Arabidopsis thaliana: one gene and its partners. The protein of the gene in region 1 interacts with the protein of each later gene in a pairwise test. Each region holds a gene or a part of one and is shown in the gene's direction. Other genes may lie near its edges.

The links.
Region 2: the proteins of LBD40 (region 1) and WRKY2 interact in a two-hybrid assay, tested with the Arabidopsis thaliana proteins (one large-scale study listed by BioGRID).
Region 3: the proteins of LBD40 (region 1) and ATAF2 interact in a two-hybrid assay, tested with the Arabidopsis thaliana proteins (one large-scale study listed by BioGRID).
Region 4: the proteins of LBD40 (region 1) and AT4G39780 interact in a two-hybrid assay, tested with the Arabidopsis thaliana proteins (one large-scale study listed by BioGRID).

The regions. Positions count from the first base shown.
Region 1 is NC_003070.9:25,051,963-25,055,374, forward strand, and holds LBD40 (LOB domain-containing protein 40), read left to right. Parts: upstream 1-1,710; 5' UTR 1,711-1,838; coding exon 1,839-2,028; intron 2,029-2,185; coding exon 2,186-2,697; 3' UTR 2,698-2,902; downstream 2,903-3,412.
Region 2 is NC_003076.8:22,777,607-22,783,972, forward strand, and holds WRKY2 (WRKY DNA-binding protein 2), read left to right. Parts: upstream 1-2,007; 5' UTR 2,008-2,639; intron 2,640-3,159; 5' UTR 3,160-3,209; coding exon 3,210-3,614; intron 3,615-3,691; coding exon 3,692-4,647; intron 4,648-4,722; coding exon 4,723-4,881; intron 4,882-4,987; coding exon 4,988-5,531; 3' UTR 5,532-5,820; downstream 5,821-6,366. Other genes in the region: CSN6A (COP9 signalosome subunit 6A), read right to left, coding at 6,011-6,092, 6,254-6,309. UniProt on the Arabidopsis thaliana protein: Transcription factor. Regulates WOX8 and WOX9 expression and basal cell division patterns during early embryogenesis. Interacts specifically with the W box (5'-(T)TGAC[CT]-3'), a frequently occurring elicitor-responsive cis-acting element.
Region 3 is NC_003076.8:2,858,290-2,862,218, reverse strand, and holds ATAF2 (NAC (No Apical Meristem) domain transcriptional regulator superfamily protein), read left to right. Parts: upstream 1-1,660; 5' UTR 1,661-2,074; coding exon 2,075-2,234; intron 2,235-2,323; coding exon 2,324-2,604; intron 2,605-2,695; coding exon 2,696-3,106; 3' UTR 3,107-3,370; downstream 3,371-3,929. Other genes in the region: AT5G08780 (winged-helix DNA-binding transcription factor family protein), read right to left, coding at 3,409-3,732, 3,837-3,924.
Region 4 is NC_003075.7:18,457,358-18,461,218, reverse strand, and holds AT4G39780 (Integrase-type DNA-binding superfamily protein), read left to right. Parts: upstream 1-1,961; 5' UTR 1,962-2,184; coding exon 2,185-3,003; 3' UTR 3,004-3,313; downstream 3,314-3,861.

The DNA.
Region 1 (3,412 bases):
TGAAACTGTATTTATCCATACGTCTATCTAAACATGTATATATACCATTTGAATTTTTCAAAAACATAATATATATACATATAGGAATTAGGTTATTGACTTATTGTTTATCTTACAATATGTTAAGTTATTTGATATAGAAAATTATTGTACAACTTTATACAGGTCTTCTAAATTACCTGAAACGACAACAAATTTATTTCATACTAGTATATATCATATAGCATATATAGCTTTCACATTCGTCTGTAACTGGTCTTTCAGAAAAATTGACTCTATAGAGTCTACTAGCTATAGTTATGATTGTTCGCATGATTATATTATTAGTTAAAGTGGAGACAATCGTATTAATCGTGTGATAGCCGGCAGAAGAAAAAATAAATCGTTTTATCCGTTAAAATTATATATATTTTGTTTTACTGTATTTTTCTAGTTTTTAACTAAGTTTTATCTTTATATAAATAATTATAAATGTTTATATAATGTTTGATATACTTAAATAAATATTTTATCTAAACTTTGTTTGCGATTTGACATTTTTAACATTTTTGATAGATATTTATATATTTTCTATAATTTTAATTTTTAACTGTTTCTAAACCTTAATAATAATTAATAGATTGTGTGTGCGTTTTTTTCTTTATTTTATTAAAGAAGTAATAGAAATAATTCAAACATCACCATTCAATGATGGGTGTTTCAATGGAAGAAACTACCAAATCTAACCAATAAACGTTGGCATCTATTCACCTAAAAGTAAAAATTGTAGAGCCTATATTAGTCAAAGTGATCCATGCAGATAATTTATTAGTAGGTCTTTCGATATTAATGTTGATATATACTAGAGCCTATAGAAGTCAAAGTGATTCCATTAAGATAATTTATTAAGTAGGTATTTGGATATTAATATTAATTATCAGAATTATGTATGGAGCTACATAATGTGTAACCGCTCAGAAAACGCGGCGATTCGACCAAACTCTGTTACCACAATGTCTCCGCCACGCGATCACACTTTTGCGCTTGCATGCGAACGTTGAAATTCGAACCTCTCATCTCTCTATTTACCATTTTACCCTCTAGTAATTTCGTTTTCAAAATTTACTATCTCCAAATATTTTGGCAGTCCATTATTAATTGCCGAACATTAAACTGCGGTCTAGACAAAAACAAACGGCGGTCAGATATAAACAACTAACCAAAAAAATAAAATACTTGACTGGTTTTGGACATTTTCGTCGATGATGATCACGCGCTACGAATGAGAGCCAAAGACAAAGCTCAACGGGCTTCCATATATATTTCATATTTATTAGTAACTATTTTCCCCAAAAAAAAAAATATATATTATTAGTAACTACAAACAAACAAACAAAATGTATAAACCATGAAAATTAAAGATTTTAAAATTTTATAACTATACAAATAGTATGAGAAGCTTTGTTTATTTTTATAAACACATAATAACAGTTTGAAAAAATTACTTACCTAAATAAAGGTAATATTCTCGTAATTTACTAAAATAATTCATACAAAATATAAAAACAATTACAAAACTCTTCTTTTTTGGGCTCTTTACATCTTATTTATACTTTGAAAATTACGATATCCATTTAGAGAAAAATATAACATGCACGTCACAAATTTATTTATTTTTTGAAAAAAATTACACACAAAGAAAACGACAACTTCGTTCCTTGTTAATTGTTATGATCTCTCCGACCAAACCCAAGCAGCTTCTCCCTCTTAAATACCTCTTCCTTCTTCTAAGATCTCTGGACCATTCTGTACTTTCCCTCAAACCCAAAACACATTTTGTTTTTTGTTTCCCATCTAAAATGCGTATGAGTTGTAACGGATGTCGAGTTCTACGAAAAGGCTGCAGTGAAAACTGTAGCATAAGACCTTGTCTTCAATGGATCAAATCCGCTGAATCTCAAGCCAACGCCACCGTCTTCCTCGCCAAGTTTTATGGCCGTGCGGGGCTCATGAACCTCCTCAACACCGGTCCTGACCACCTCCGTCCTGGTATTCAAACTTCCCATGCATGTTATGTTTTTTGTTTGTTATGGTTAATTGCGAAGTTCTGGACGGAATCTCTCATACATCTTTTTAGGAAACGTAGGATCCTGTTTATTTTTCTAACATGCATCTAATAATTTGGTAATTTTGTTTGTTTTTGCAGCGATATTTAGATCATTGTTGTACGAAGCATGCGGGAGGATTGTGAATCCGATATACGGATCCGTGGGGTTATTGTGGTCAGGAAACTGGCATCTTTGTCAAGCGGCCGTTGAGGCAGTAATGAGAGGCTCACCCGTGACTCCGATCGCATGCGACGCAGCGGTTACTGGTCAAGCACCTCCTTTTAACAACAAGCTTTGCGACATAAGACACGTGTCAAGCAGGGACGAGAACGTTAAGAGACGGAGCCGTGGTGCATGCAAGGAAGAGAGAAACGTGAGGTCTTTGAGTCATGAGTCGTCACTGAGTCACGAGTCACCGGTGTCTTCTGAGGAGACGACGACGGAGGAACCAAAGACTTGGATCGGGCTTGAGCTGACTTTGGGGTTGGAGCCTTTAGCACGTGGAAATCACGTGGTGGTACCGATGAAGAAAAGAAAGTTAGAGAGGTGTGGCACGTCTGAGGATGAGGACACGTGTAAGATTGAGCTTGGACTGGTGTGCAGTGAGTGAATGGTTCTTTTTTTGTGGCTGGTCTTAATTACAAGTTTTGGTGTTGAGTTTTAGGTGTACAAATAGAGATTAACGAATCTCTCTTTTTTCTCTTTTTGAGTTTTATGTTTTGTTTTGTTTTCTTTTGCATGTTCGGTGTTCTTCATAAATATGTATGATGAATGATAAAGAGGTCTTAACTTAACAAATCTTGGTTCGGATCGACATAACAAACATTTCTTCTTTCCATTCTAAATTCTTGATTTTACTCATGTACTTAAACAAACGATGCAATTGATGTAAACACGTTTATCCCAATAAATTTTGTATTTTATTTATATAAAAAAAAACTTAACAAATCTTCTATTTCAGAAATATCTGGGGTTAGATTACAAAGAATCTAAGTTGCTTAATGATGAAATCTCCATATGATGATTAGTCATTCATTTATAAATATTTTGTCTCAAAAAGCCCTTTTGTATGTGAACCGTGTTACCAAATGACTCAGCAGCTAACATGCATGTGTGTTAGATTTTTGTTCTCGAAGGATATGTGTAGGAACTTAATTAGCTAGAGAAAACGAAAAGGATGAATTATTTTAACTAATTGGGTCGAAATGTGTATTCAGCAGAAAACATAGCCCAACTCTTTCGGACTTGAATCCTGTTTTGTCCATCTATCTTCCCCCCCTATACACTCAATTCTCATACTATCAGATATGCTAAAATAATTAATG
Region 2 (6,366 bases), on another chromosome or scaffold:
ATATCTGTAAGAAGAAAAAAAAAAAAAAAAAAAGGTACACCACGCCACAACCGTGCTTTGGCTGTCACATGAGTGTAAGGTCACAGCTCCGTAACGGGATATTTTGCGGCTCGTAAAAAGACAAAGAAGAATAAAAGTGAAAGCGAAAAACAAAATACTAAAAGAGGCTTGGTCAATGTTTCTTTTTTGACCGTTTTTTTTTGGAAAAACTGCCTCCTCAATTTCCAATTTAATATTCAATTTAAGGTATAATTAAAAGTCATTGATTGATTATTCCCAATTTTATTAAATGTCTCTACATACAATTAGATTAGATCATCCTTAACGCACGTTAGTCATTTTGTTTCTTCCTCTTTTCAGACTATAAACGTTAACATGTAAGAAAGAAAAGAAAAGATATAAGCGTTAACGTATCTCATATATTTGTAAAGAATATTTGTCTGATGTTATTTAGTTCGTTTAATGATTTTATTTTAGGTTTCTTTAACCAGTACTTAACTACTTAATAGGTGTTATATATATTAGATTCAATCTATATTTGAATATCTGAATTTCACAATGGTTGGTAAACGTATCTCCTTATATTGCAGTTTAATTAGGTTAATACGTTTCATCTAAAATGCATAGTTTTAAAATCAAATCACATGCATGCATGTATGAGAACATGTCAAATTCAAATATTATTGTTTTTTTTTTTTTTTTTTTTGTAAAACAATATATTATTGTTATACGTCTTATCGATTGAAGTCGAAAGATTTGGTTGCCATATAGATCTATGTTGCGTCTCTACTCTAGTTTCATATATTAGTTTGAACTTCTAGTCTTTCGACTCAACGATGATTTGGGTTAGGTCAAAATATCTTATAACAATTAAATATTCTACTTAACACTGATACCAAAAAAAACTAATTAAATATTAAGGGTGATTGTTGTTGTTACATAACTTAAAACTGATTTACATAAACACATTTTGACTTTTGGATGTAAGTGTACATACATGTATCAAGTTACTAATACATAACTTATTATCTATCCTCTTTAAAGATCGAGCACTATAAACGATAACAAGAAAAAAATAACATAAAAAATTCAAATTTAAAATAGAATTTGATACACGAAAATATCTACTTATTTACTTTGTTTGCCATAACCTTACTAACTAAAATAATAAAATTACTAATTATTAAATTTTAAAATAGTAAATACTAGATCATAATTTGGTTTTGTTAGTGTCCTCGCAACATCACTAACCAATCGGTCGTTGACAAAAAATAATACTAGTAAAATAGTATGATGAAATCAACATTTTCAATCACTAATAAAAATAAATTTTGGCATCTTATAATTTTACCGTAAAAACTATAATTCTACTCAATTAATTTTTTTGAAACTTGTAATATCGACATATCAGACCTAACAGTATACTTTCTGTTAAATTTAACTGTTTTTTTATCCTTCAAAATACCTGGATTTCTCAAAAAATGCTATGTTAAACATTTTATTCTCTGCGGTGAAAATATTTTGACAACATTTCCCCTTTTAACTGAATTTTCTTGCATAGTTACTACACACAGAGACTATAAATAGCTTGCAGATTAGATTTTCTTCTGTTCCACAAATTTCTAACTAATATGACCACTTATAGTAAAAAACAACAACCTGCTTTATATGTAACTTTTTTTCTTTTCCTTGTCCTTAAAGAGATAATTCAGTTTTTTTCTTTCTCAATTCATATGAATCAAATCAAACCAATATAAGACTATATTCACTGTAATAAAATAATTTTCTAAATCCGACATGTGGCAGAATAGAACCTTTTGCCAATAATTTCCTTTTAAAATTAATTTTCTTCCTATTAATAACCAATCCGGAAAAAATGAAAATGGAAGAGAAATTAATGTGAAAAGTTGGCAAATAATTCGTTAGAGATCACCTGTGTTACACCTCACCGTACCTCTTACTTATCAACCGTTGATCTTAATTCTCTAACTCCAATTACTCCACGTGGCGTGTTTTTATAGGTGAATTCAATTATGAGAAAAAACGCTTCGTGTATGTTAGAACACGAATCACCCCCATCATCGTCATCATCTTCACCATTTCTCCTGCAAAAACTTTTTTATTCCTTCTTCCTCTTTAGTAAACAAATCGATCAAAAATGGTCTCATAATTCTCTCTATATCTTTTATCACTTTCGAAGATTCCTCTTCTCGCCCACAAATCAAAATCATTTCTTTTGCCGACTAATTGAATTTCTTAGAATTCAACATACGCAATGAAAATGTTCTCGTCACAAAGATTAGACTAATCCGACTGTGTTTTTAATCAATCATCATTTTATTTAGGGGAGAGAAGTTGTAAAGTTTTGATTTTTTTTTCTGGGTTTTTTCTGTGAGACCCAGAAGAAGAACAGAGAGAGGAAGAAGGAGAAGAAAAAAATATCTCTTTCTCTCCGGCTTTCAACAAAATCTCTCTTTTTTCCTTCATCAGTGTTAAATTCGGATCCGGGTCGGGTGGGTTTTCGGTTTTTGGTGTTCGGATCAGAGCACAGTTGGATGTTAGCGACGGAACTGAGGATTTCAGTTTGCGGCTGCGGCGGCTGTGACGGTGTTTGTGTGTCGTCTTCTTTTATCAATCAGGTAAATAGTCACAATCGAGTTTTTGTGATTCCATTTTCATATGATTAAAATGTTTCATCTTTAACTTAAATTCTGGATTTTGAACAAACCTTGATTTGTTTAATCGTCTCCTTTTAGGTTCTTTTTGCTTACAGTCTGGGTTAAGCTATAATCACACGTTTTTTTCTTTCTCTTTGTCGTTTTTAATCTTCGTGGCTCGATCATTTTTGATTCATTTCCAAAATTCTCGAAGCTAATTCGTTAGAATCTAAAATCCTATGTTTTGATTTTGTGAGATTCCATGAAAGTGGCTTAACGTGTGAAAAAGAAAAAGTCCTTCATTTTCTTACATTTTTTTCTTTTGTCTGAATGAATTATTTTATATATTTTTTGTCCACTTTGAAATAAAAAAGTTTTAAACTTTGAGAAACTTAAGCTCACTGGTTTAGTGACACTTGTCTCTAATCATCGTTGTGTTTAGCTAGATTATTGTTTTTTTGGTAGTAATCTGAAGTTTTGTGATTCTTTATCATATTTTCAGGAGTTTCATCACAGTTTGATCAGAGATTCAGCCAAATTCTTGGATACTAAATGGCTGGTTTTGATGAAAATGTTGCTGTGATGGGAGAATGGGTGCCTCGTAGTCCTAGTCCCGGGACACTTTTCTCCTCTGCTATTGGAGAAGAGAAGAGCTCGAAACGTGTTCTTGAAAGAGAGTTATCTTTGAATCATGGTCAAGTTATTGGTTTAGAAGAAGACACTAGTAGTAATCATAACAAGGATTCTTCACAAAGCAATGTTTTTCGAGGTGGTCTCAGTGAAAGAATTGCTGCAAGAGCTGGATTTAATGCTCCAAGGTTGAACACTGAGAATATCCGCACCAACACCGACTTTTCCATTGACTCTAACCTTCGATCTCCTTGCTTAACCATCTCTTCTCCTGGCCTTAGCCCTGCAACACTCTTGGAATCTCCTGTTTTCCTTTCTAACCCATTGGTAAGCTACAAGTTGGTTTGCTTTCTTTCGATGTTATTATGGAGCTATTTTTTCTGAATATCTCGGTGACCTTGCAGGCTCAACCTTCTCCAACTACCGGGAAATTTCCATTTCTTCCTGGTGTTAATGGTAATGCATTGTCTTCTGAGAAAGCGAAAGACGAGTTCTTTGATGATATTGGAGCATCATTCAGCTTCCATCCTGTTTCAAGATCATCTTCCTCTTTCTTCCAAGGCACAACAGAGATGATGTCAGTTGATTATGGTAACTACAACAATAGATCTTCTTCTCATCAATCCGCAGAAGAAGTAAAACCTGGCTCTGAAAACATAGAAAGCTCCAATCTTTATGGGATTGAAACTGACAATCAAAACGGGCAGAACAAGACATCTGATGTCACTACAAACACCAGTCTTGAAACCGTGGATCATCAAGAGGAAGAAGAAGAGCAAAGACGCGGTGATTCGATGGCTGGTGGTGCGCCTGCAGAGGATGGATATAACTGGAGGAAATACGGACAAAAGTTGGTCAAAGGAAGTGAGTATCCGCGAAGCTATTACAAGTGCACAAACCCGAATTGTCAGGTGAAGAAGAAAGTTGAGAGATCAAGGGAAGGTCACATCACAGAGATTATATACAAAGGAGCTCATAATCATCTTAAACCTCCACCTAATCGCCGCTCAGGGATGCAAGTAGATGGAACTGAACAAGTTGAACAACAACAACAACAGAGAGATTCTGCTGCAACGTGGGTTAGTTGTAATAACACTCAACAACAAGGTGGAAGCAATGAGAACAATGTCGAAGAGGGATCTACGAGATTCGAGTATGGAAACCAATCTGGATCAATTCAAGCTCAAACCGGAGGTCAATACGAGTCAGGTGATCCTGTGGTTGTGGTTGATGCTTCTTCAACATTCTCTAATGATGAAGATGAAGATGATCGAGGGACACATGGAAGTGTTTCTTTGGGTTACGATGGAGGAGGAGGAGGTGGGGGAGGAGAAGGAGATGAATCAGAGTCGAAAAGAAGGTTTGTTTTAGCAATCGAAACACCGAATCCTCGATGACTCAGTAAACGAGACTCAAAAACTTTTTGATTTTACAGGAAACTAGAAGCTTTTGCAGCAGAGATGAGTGGATCAACAAGAGCCATACGTGAGCCAAGAGTTGTTGTGCAGACAACGAGTGATGTTGACATTCTTGATGATGGTTATCGCTGGCGAAAATATGGTCAGAAAGTTGTCAAAGGCAATCCAAATCCAAGGTTCTTTATAATCCCCTCCTCTGTTTTGGTCTGGTTCTGTTTATATGTTTATCGGCAATCACAAGACCAATTCTTTTTTTATAACGTTTTCATAATGTTTTTCTAGGAGTTATTACAAATGCACAGCTCCAGGATGTACAGTGAGGAAACATGTTGAAAGAGCTTCTCATGATCTCAAATCCGTTATAACAACTTACGAAGGCAAACATAACCATGACGTCCCCGCTGCACGCAACAGCAGCCACGGAGGCGGTGGTGATAGTGGTAACGGTAACAGCGGCGGTTCAGCCGCAGTTTCTCACCATTACCACAACGGTCATCACTCAGAGCCGCCACGTGGGAGATTCGACAGACAAGTCACAACTAACAATCAGTCTCCTTTTAGCCGTCCCTTTAGCTTTCAGCCACATTTGGGTCCTCCTTCTGGTTTCTCCTTCGGTTTAGGACAAACCGGTTTGGTTAATCTTTCAATGCCTGGTTTAGCGTATGGTCAAGGGAAAATGCCGGGTTTGCCTCACCCGTATATGACACAACCGGTTGGGATGAGTGAAGCAATGATGCAGAGAGGGATGGAACCAAAGGTTGAACCGGTTTCAGATTCAGGACAATCGGTATATAACCAGATCATGAGTAGATTACCTCAGATTTGAAATTTACTCTTCTTCTTCTTCTTCTGCATTTGGTCACTCCTTATAATAACTTTTAATTTCTGCTTCTTCTTCTTCTTTCATTTATTGGTTTCAAACTTTGGGGAAGGTAAAGGCTGTTTTATTGTTCATTCCTTGGTTTTGTCTTCTTTTTTACTGGTTCTTTATCTTATATTGAAATCAACAAAGAAGAAAAAAGTGAGTGTTGTGTAGCAATACTGCAATTGCTAACTGGAGACTGATGTGGATGTAACTAGAGAGACTGATAGAATCAAACCTTAAAATCTTTTTACTAACAATAGAAACTTGTTCAAGATCAAACAAGAGCTTTGATAGATAAGCAGATGTTCTTATAGATATAGAAACAATGAAGAGGATAAAGTCTTGCCGTCTGAGTTATAGATTCTCACAGAGGCAATGTTAAAAATGGTTTCAGGAACCAAGAGAAGATCTTTAGAACTAGAATCGCTGGAAAGGATCTTTTACATGAATGCAGTTCTTCCACCTCTTCGAGTGTTTCTGTCATATGCGGTGTTGAATTTGTCGACCATCTCGTTCATGTTGCTGCAGATTGAGCAAACAAAATTATTAACTGATATAACAGAATCCACCAGCCCGGTGAAAACCGTATCTTTCACAGTTCCTAAAGAACCACTAGTTAAAGAGCATTCGCTAGCCTATATACTTGCTTTCAAATACTTTAGAATGTTGCATTAGGTACAAACCTGGAACAATTTGTAATCATCGCTAGGTAAGTTATTAGTAATTTGTCGTTGTACTCCTGCAAAAAGAAAAAATGCCAGCATAAGTTGCGAAATATCTCAGACAATAAGCTACA
Region 3 (3,929 bases), on another chromosome or scaffold:
ACAATATATGCACGGTTTCAAACGAATGTTATATAGTAAGACTTTTGTCATACGCACGCACATAAGAATAAGACAAGTAGTCATATGAATAGAGAATAGTATGTAGTATATGTGATACTAATTGTTGTTAACGATAGGTTCTAAGTTCCGACAATGAGGTCCCAAGTTGTCTCCTCCTTATCCAAATTCTCAAGTATATTCCAATGTAAATTTCTAGAAACGACAAAACATAAAGGTAATAATCCATCACCAAAACATTATATTTGCATAATTTGGGTCAAGTTCGGCAGCTATAACATCAAGCTCCACGAAGCTTCCTATTTCAATTCACACCGCGACTAAATTAACAAACAACTGCAAAAAAACTATAAAGTCGATTTCTCTCTTTATCATAAAAATTCAGATCAAGTCCAGATCCAATTGATCTGAATTTTATAATAGGAACAAATCATGCGTTACGATGTCTTTTATATATTTTCTTGTTTTCTTTTTTTGGTTTAATATTAGTGGTCATATCTTTTATTCTAGACTTGACTGTTATCATCTAAAACGACAGAAAAAAATGAAGTCGTCAGTGCACGAAAATTATTTAGCTAAAAGCCTAAAAGATGTGTATGAAATGATACGACTTATATAACTTGCATTCTTATATCGATAAAGAATCCTTATTGACAACAACAAAAAGTCATGTTTGACCACAAATATTTCGTATTATAATTAATTTGGCTACTAAGGGACTTTTAATAGTAAAAGGAAAAGACCATGATCTTATAAAACATTACGTTGAATCGATCATAATTAGTTTATAATATGATAGAAAACGTAAGTGATGATGATCATAAAACGGGGAACAAGCCCACGTCATGCTTGCATACACACCTACCTCAACTTTACATTTAAAGATTTTAAAATAGAAGAGGATTCATGGGCATTATTTGCTAGTGAATCAAACTTATGAATTATAAATTAAGTCTGTAATGAAAGCGGCTCAATGGGTACTTAATTAAGGATTAAGCTAGTGGTTAAATAGTTGTCCTTAACACATATTTTTATGTAACGGGGAAACTCAAACTAAAGCGCAAACGCTTTCTTTGCGAACTCCAATGTTTTTATTTATGTGAATGTAGTATTATTAGTCGAGAGTATTTATAATTAGTGACTATGATTGGCGATTGCAACTTTAAATGACGTCATCCATCATGACGCAAAGCTTCGCCTGAAGAAGGAAATTAATCAGCTGCGGAGATGCTCACCGTAGTTTCATCAAACTGTCCAATCACCAGTCAAAACTACAACTTCCGCCCCAAGAAATGCTGACTTATCTTCAGCAAGGTTACAATAATGTGTCAATTTCAATATCATAAAAAAGTAGTGGCTGCTGAGATTTTTCTTTTTAAATCTTAGTGGTAAATCTTAGTGGTAAGTAAAGGAACAAAAGCGATAAGCTACACTGAGAAGCAGGAGATTACGGTTTGACATATAAAGGCATTTCCATCTACGAGAAATCCACAAAATTTCTCAAACAAAAAAAATATTAATATTATATTATAATTTAATTATTTAATTAAAAAAGTATTTTTGTTAAAAAATTGAACCAATAGTAAGATGAGAATTGTCATGATGGGTTGTAAAGTATCTCAAAGTTTCTCAAGTAAGAAACTTTCTACACTCTCTTTCCCAATGGAGATGGTCTAAAGTCGGTCAACAATTCACAAAAGGTTTAAGTGACGCAAGCAATGACAACATCTAAGTCGACTATCCAATAATATTACGCCACGTATATATCCAGCTGGCTGCGGTCAGCGTAGAAAAGAAAACGGTCTGTTTTGCCGCACGTGCTTGAAAATCCCCTCGTGTCATCTCTTTTCTGTTTTTTGTGTTTTTTCAATTTAAATTAATTAAAACATTTCGGCGATTTTCGTCCTTATAAAACCTTCGTCGCCTCACTCACATATCCTCGATTACAATCTTGAGCAGACGAAGAAAACCCAAAAAAAATCCAGATCCAGCTGAAATTGAATTTTCAACCAACGAAGAAGAGATTTTTCCAAGAGCAACAGACAAGAAGAAGAGAATGAAGTCGGAGCTAAATTTACCAGCTGGGTTCCGATTCCATCCAACGGACGAGGAGCTTGTGAAATTCTACTTGTGCCGGAAATGTGCTTCCGAGCAGATCTCGGCTCCGGTTATCGCCGAGATTGATCTCTACAAGTTCAATCCTTGGGAGCTTCCAGGTACACCTATGGGCTTCTTCTAATTATTTTTCGCGAAATCATGTGTCTTCGAGAATCGTTGTTTATTGAGATGTTTGTTCTTCTTTCAGAGATGTCTCTGTACGGAGAGAAAGAGTGGTACTTCTTCTCACCTAGAGATCGGAAATACCCAAACGGTTCGCGTCCTAACCGGGCAGCAGGAACCGGTTATTGGAAAGCTACCGGAGCAGATAAACCGATTGGTAAACCGAAGACGTTGGGTATCAAGAAAGCACTCGTCTTCTACGCAGGGAAAGCTCCAAAAGGGATTAAGACCAATTGGATAATGCATGAGTATCGTCTCGCTAATGTTGATAGATCAGCTTCTGTTAACAAAAAGAACAACCTACGAGTAAGTTCTGTTTCTTATTAACTTATGTATCATCTTTTCGTGAATGATGATTTAGATTATTAACTTTGTTGTGGTGGGTTTTGCTGTACAGCTTGATGATTGGGTTTTATGTCGAATATACAACAAGAAAGGAACCATGGAGAAGTATTTCCCCGCGGATGAGAAGCCGAGGACCACGACAATGGCTGAACAGTCATCATCACCTTTTGATACATCAGACTCGACTTACCCGACATTGCAAGAGGATGATTCCAGCAGCTCAGGTGGTCACGGTCACGTGGTGTCACCGGATGTTTTGGAGGTTCAGAGCGAGCCTAAATGGGGAGAGCTTGAGGATGCTTTGGAAGCTTTTGATACTTCAATGTTTGGTAGTTCCATGGAGTTGTTGCAGCCTGACGCTTTTGTCCCTCAGTTCTTGTATCAGTCTGATTATTTCACTTCCTTCCAGGATCCGCCTGAGCAGAAACCATTCTTGAATTGGAGTTTTGCTCCACAGGGGTAAAAACGGAAGAGACCAAAAAAGGTGTTTGCTAGTAGTACTGTGATGTGCCAGAGAGAAGAGTCTCATCTCAACTCATCCCTGGCTCTTAGTAGTAAAAGAAGATTGTAGAATGTTAATAGCTTTTAGCATCAATGTCTCATTAGCAGGCACATTCTTGTTCTTTCATGAGAAGTTTATATGAAAACTAAAAATTTATATTCAAATTCTTCAAGATGTTGCACTTATGTAGATACTGATATTAAATAACAACCTAACCTTTATGAGATATCATGCTCTCCGGAAGCATTTTTTGATGAGTATCATCAGCTGAATCGAGGCGATTTCCTCACAGCTGTTATTCCTATGTCTCTGAGACTTTTGATTCTCGTTTTCTTGACCTGAGGTTTCTTTTTGGAAGACTTCTCTCTTTCCTTCTGTTCAAGCTGTGTGGAGGGTTTTTCAGATCCATTATTCCCACGAGGAGTCTTCATTTTGGGATCCTCTTTGCATAATCCTTTGCTTATACCTTCGAGTTCACATCCTGGAGATACAGAATATGGAACCACGGTTTCATCACATGAATCGATGATCTCAGAGAGCTGGCTTTGTAACTTTTGGGCAGCCTTCCACAGTTCTCTGCAGCTTTCCTGTGGATAAAGAAAAGGAGACAACAAAAAAACATTCAGAACCTGTTTTTCATCAGCTCAAAAACATATCAGTGACATGACGTAACAGGGATTTTTGTCCTCACCATTGATAAAGGCAAACGAGAAACATCATCAATTTCTGAAACAGCTTTGTTCTGCTGGTCTTTCTCTTTGCACTGTTTTAGCATTTTCCTATT
Region 4 (3,861 bases), on another chromosome or scaffold:
ATTTACGATCAACAATTAAAAGAAAATTTAGAAAGTTAAGAAAGTAACGAATACTTTGTAAGACGTGTAATCGAGTTTATCTCCAAAAACTTTAGAATTATTCCTAATCTACGTTATGATTTCTAACCAAATAGATTAGCGATGAGATCAAAAGTAGTTTCTGAAGATATGTTCTTTAGCTTCTTCTGTCAGTTGTCAGGTCTTAGAGAACCGAGAGATAATGATTTCCACGTAGGATCTTACGTGTGAACAAGCCAGAGTGGGTCCCACATAGTTGCTTCTTCTCTTATTTTTGGCTTTTCATATCGGTTCGAAGAATCTTATTTAATTTGATACAAAATAAGTAATCAATAAGAAAATAAGGGAATACATTACGTGGAAATTTTTTGAAATTCACTCATAAAGTTGGAATTAATGGTCTTTTTGGGGGGGGGAAAACGTGGAGGGTAAACGAATATACAAAGTAAGCAAGTAGTATCCGTGTAAAGCTTTTCATATCACCTAACTTTTTTCCATTTTCAATCATTTATGGTGAAAATTTGTGAATATTATAACAAAAAATTATTTAGGTAAATAAAAAATGGCTACTAGTAAGTGTGAAAAAGAATATGGAATGAAATGAGAATGTAATTTAGCTCATGAATCTTTGATTATATTGATTGCAATTCTTAAAACCTTCTCTTCATATTGATACTATGTAATGAATTATCAAAACAGAAAAATAATATATACGAAAACAAAAGTAAATCCATTATCTGAAACGTGTCTACCTCATTTTGTTTTAAACGAAACAATATACTTATCGTAAATAAAATCATTATACAATTTCTCTATTTTCTACAACAATCAAACACAAAAGAATTTTACATAATATTTCGAAGAATATTGGATTTTTAAATGGTTAAAATCTGAAAAGGAACTTGAAAAAAGGTGAAGAAGATCCACTAGCTTCCTTGTGACGCAAACTTTAACCGCCTTTGAGTTCTCACCTCTTTCCATTCTTCTCCAATAGCTTTCTTCACTTTCTCCAATTAATTTTATCTTGCTAACCAAACAACCCCTTAGTTTATTAATTTACAACCCCCCCACCCCACTTTTTACATCTACTTGTATGCGGTATACTCAATAAAAATTTCTGAAAATGGACCACATTAGGACTTGGGAATATTAGTATGACCACCAATATTCTCATGTTTGATATGGCTGCAATTTCTTCTTTTTGTTTGCATGAATATTATTTAGTACTTCAAGTACTGATTCCATGCTTTTTTTTTTTCCTTCTAATTCAACATGAGTAAAATATAAATTATTTTATAAGAAGATATGTTGGCAAAAGAAAAGAAGTGGTAAAGAAGGCAAACTGGCCTTTCAACTTGCGCTAGAATCAACTAATGTCAGTTTTTGGCTCTTACGATTTTTGAAATTATTGCTGAAAAGATTATATTTCGGCGATTTTATTTATTAAATATAGCTCCAAAACTAGAGTCAAAGATCATATGAGAAGTTAAAGAAAATTAATTCCGTCTTTTTGGTGTGTGTGTAACGTGTAAACCTAATTAAACTATAACATGCTCTCTTTTTCAAAAAAAAATATAACACGCTCTTCACATATAACATGAAATCAATATAAATATATCCTTAATAAACACAATAGAAAGTGAAATTGATATTTATAGTTATTGCGAGCTAGTATAGTTATGATTTTTTTTAAAAAATTGAGCTGGGAATTTTTGTAAAATTTAGAACTCTTAGTCTAACCATGATAGATGATTGTTTTGTCACACACGTACACACCATAAAATCGTATTATATTCCCTGGGAACGGCTTAGATCCATGGAATAAAAGATTTTTATCAAGCTGACGAGAAACAAATCGTCAACAGAACAAAAGCATCTAAACAATGTAATTATTAAATTTAACATTCTACTGAAGAAATTTATATATAATTTTAAAATGATAATGATCTCAATGGGCGGCTTAGCTTATGGTGTTATATAAGCAAAGAACTTGGCATCAAGCGAAACCAAAAGCGACAGAAAAAAACAAATATTTAGAAACAAAAAATGCTATAATTCTTCCTTTTTCTTGTTCTTTCAGAGATTTTGATTTCTATTCAATCGACTAAGAGGGTGTGTTTTTAATCCCTCTCTGTTTTAATTTTGTTTCCTAGTCTTTAAAGATCCATGGCAGCCATAGATATGTTCAATAGCAACACAGATCCTTTTCAAGAAGAGCTCATGAAAGCACTTCAACCTTATACCACCAACACTGATTCTTCTTCTCCTACGTATTCAAACACAGTCTTCGGTTTCAATCAAACCACATCTCTCGGTCTAAACCAGCTCACACCTTACCAAATCCACCAAATCCAAAACCAGCTTAACCAGAGACGTAACATAATCTCTCCAAATCTAGCCCCAAAGCCTGTCCCAATGAAGAACATGACCGCTCAGAAACTCTATAGAGGAGTTAGACAAAGGCACTGGGGAAAATGGGTAGCTGAGATCCGTTTACCCAAGAACCGGACCCGACTCTGGCTTGGAACTTTCGACACAGCTGAAGAAGCAGCCATGGCTTATGACCTAGCTGCTTACAAGCTAAGAGGCGAGTTCGCGAGACTTAATTTCCCACAGTTCAGACACGAGGATGGATACTACGGAGGAGGTAGCTGTTTCAATCCTCTTCATTCCTCTGTCGACGCAAAGCTCCAAGAGATTTGTCAGAGCTTGAGAAAAACAGAGGATATTGACCTCCCCTGTTCTGAAACAGAGCTTTTCCCGCCAAAAACAGAGTATCAAGAAAGTGAATATGGGTTCTTGAGATCTGATGAGAATTCGTTTTCAGATGAGTCTCATGTGGAATCTTCTTCGCCGGAATCTGGTATTACTACGTTCTTGGACTTTTCGGATTCTGGATTTGATGAGATTGGGAGTTTCGGGCTGGAGAAGTTTCCTTCTGTGGAGATTGATTGGGATGCGATTAGCAAATTGTCCGAATCTTAAACAAAGCAAAGAGAAGACTTTTTCTTTTAGGAGTTTGTCTTTCAATTTCAGTGTCTTATATTAATCTCTCTGCAACTGAAATTTTTAACAGTTGCGGAGAGAATCGTCTCTAGGGTTTGTTTCTCTTCCTCCATGTTTTGGTCTGACTGGTTTATGTCTTTTTTTTTTTTTTGAACTTTCAAAAACCTTTGTCATTGACCAATCGGAGAAGTTTCCATGTATTCTCTCATCTTTAAATTTCTAATGAAGAATGTAAATTATTAGTCTTTTGCTGATAGTGTTTTTGGTCATTATAAAAATAAGGTTTGCATGCTGATAAAGTATAAAATTCATTTATTAAACAGTTTCAGAGAACTTGCGGAAAGATAATTGATCTCTTCTGTCAAGGATTTTTTAAGAAATTAAACTTAATGTTAATTCTCCTTTTTTATACTTAAATCATTCTTGTAAAATGATTCAAAAAGACATGATGGGAACAAAATTTGGATCGGAAAATAAAATCTAATATGTTTCAACTACAAAGCAAAATATCATTTGACGAAATTTGAAAATGTATTCCTGCCGAGGAAATTCCAAAAAAGAAAAACAAATCAAATAATTATAGAACTTTATTCCGGCGATAATTCAAATAACTTATGCTGCATTTGTGTGTATTGTGGACGATAGAGGTCCGTTGTTGACATATGGGAACACATAAGCCACAAAGTTCGATGCTTTAAGGTAAAGAATCTTACAATAACCAACAATTGTGGCAAAGATTAAAACGTTCATAATATATACACTATACAACTACTTTAAAGTCTGTTTTTTCAAATATTATATTTAGAAAAAAAAATAAACAAAGCAGCCTTAACCAAT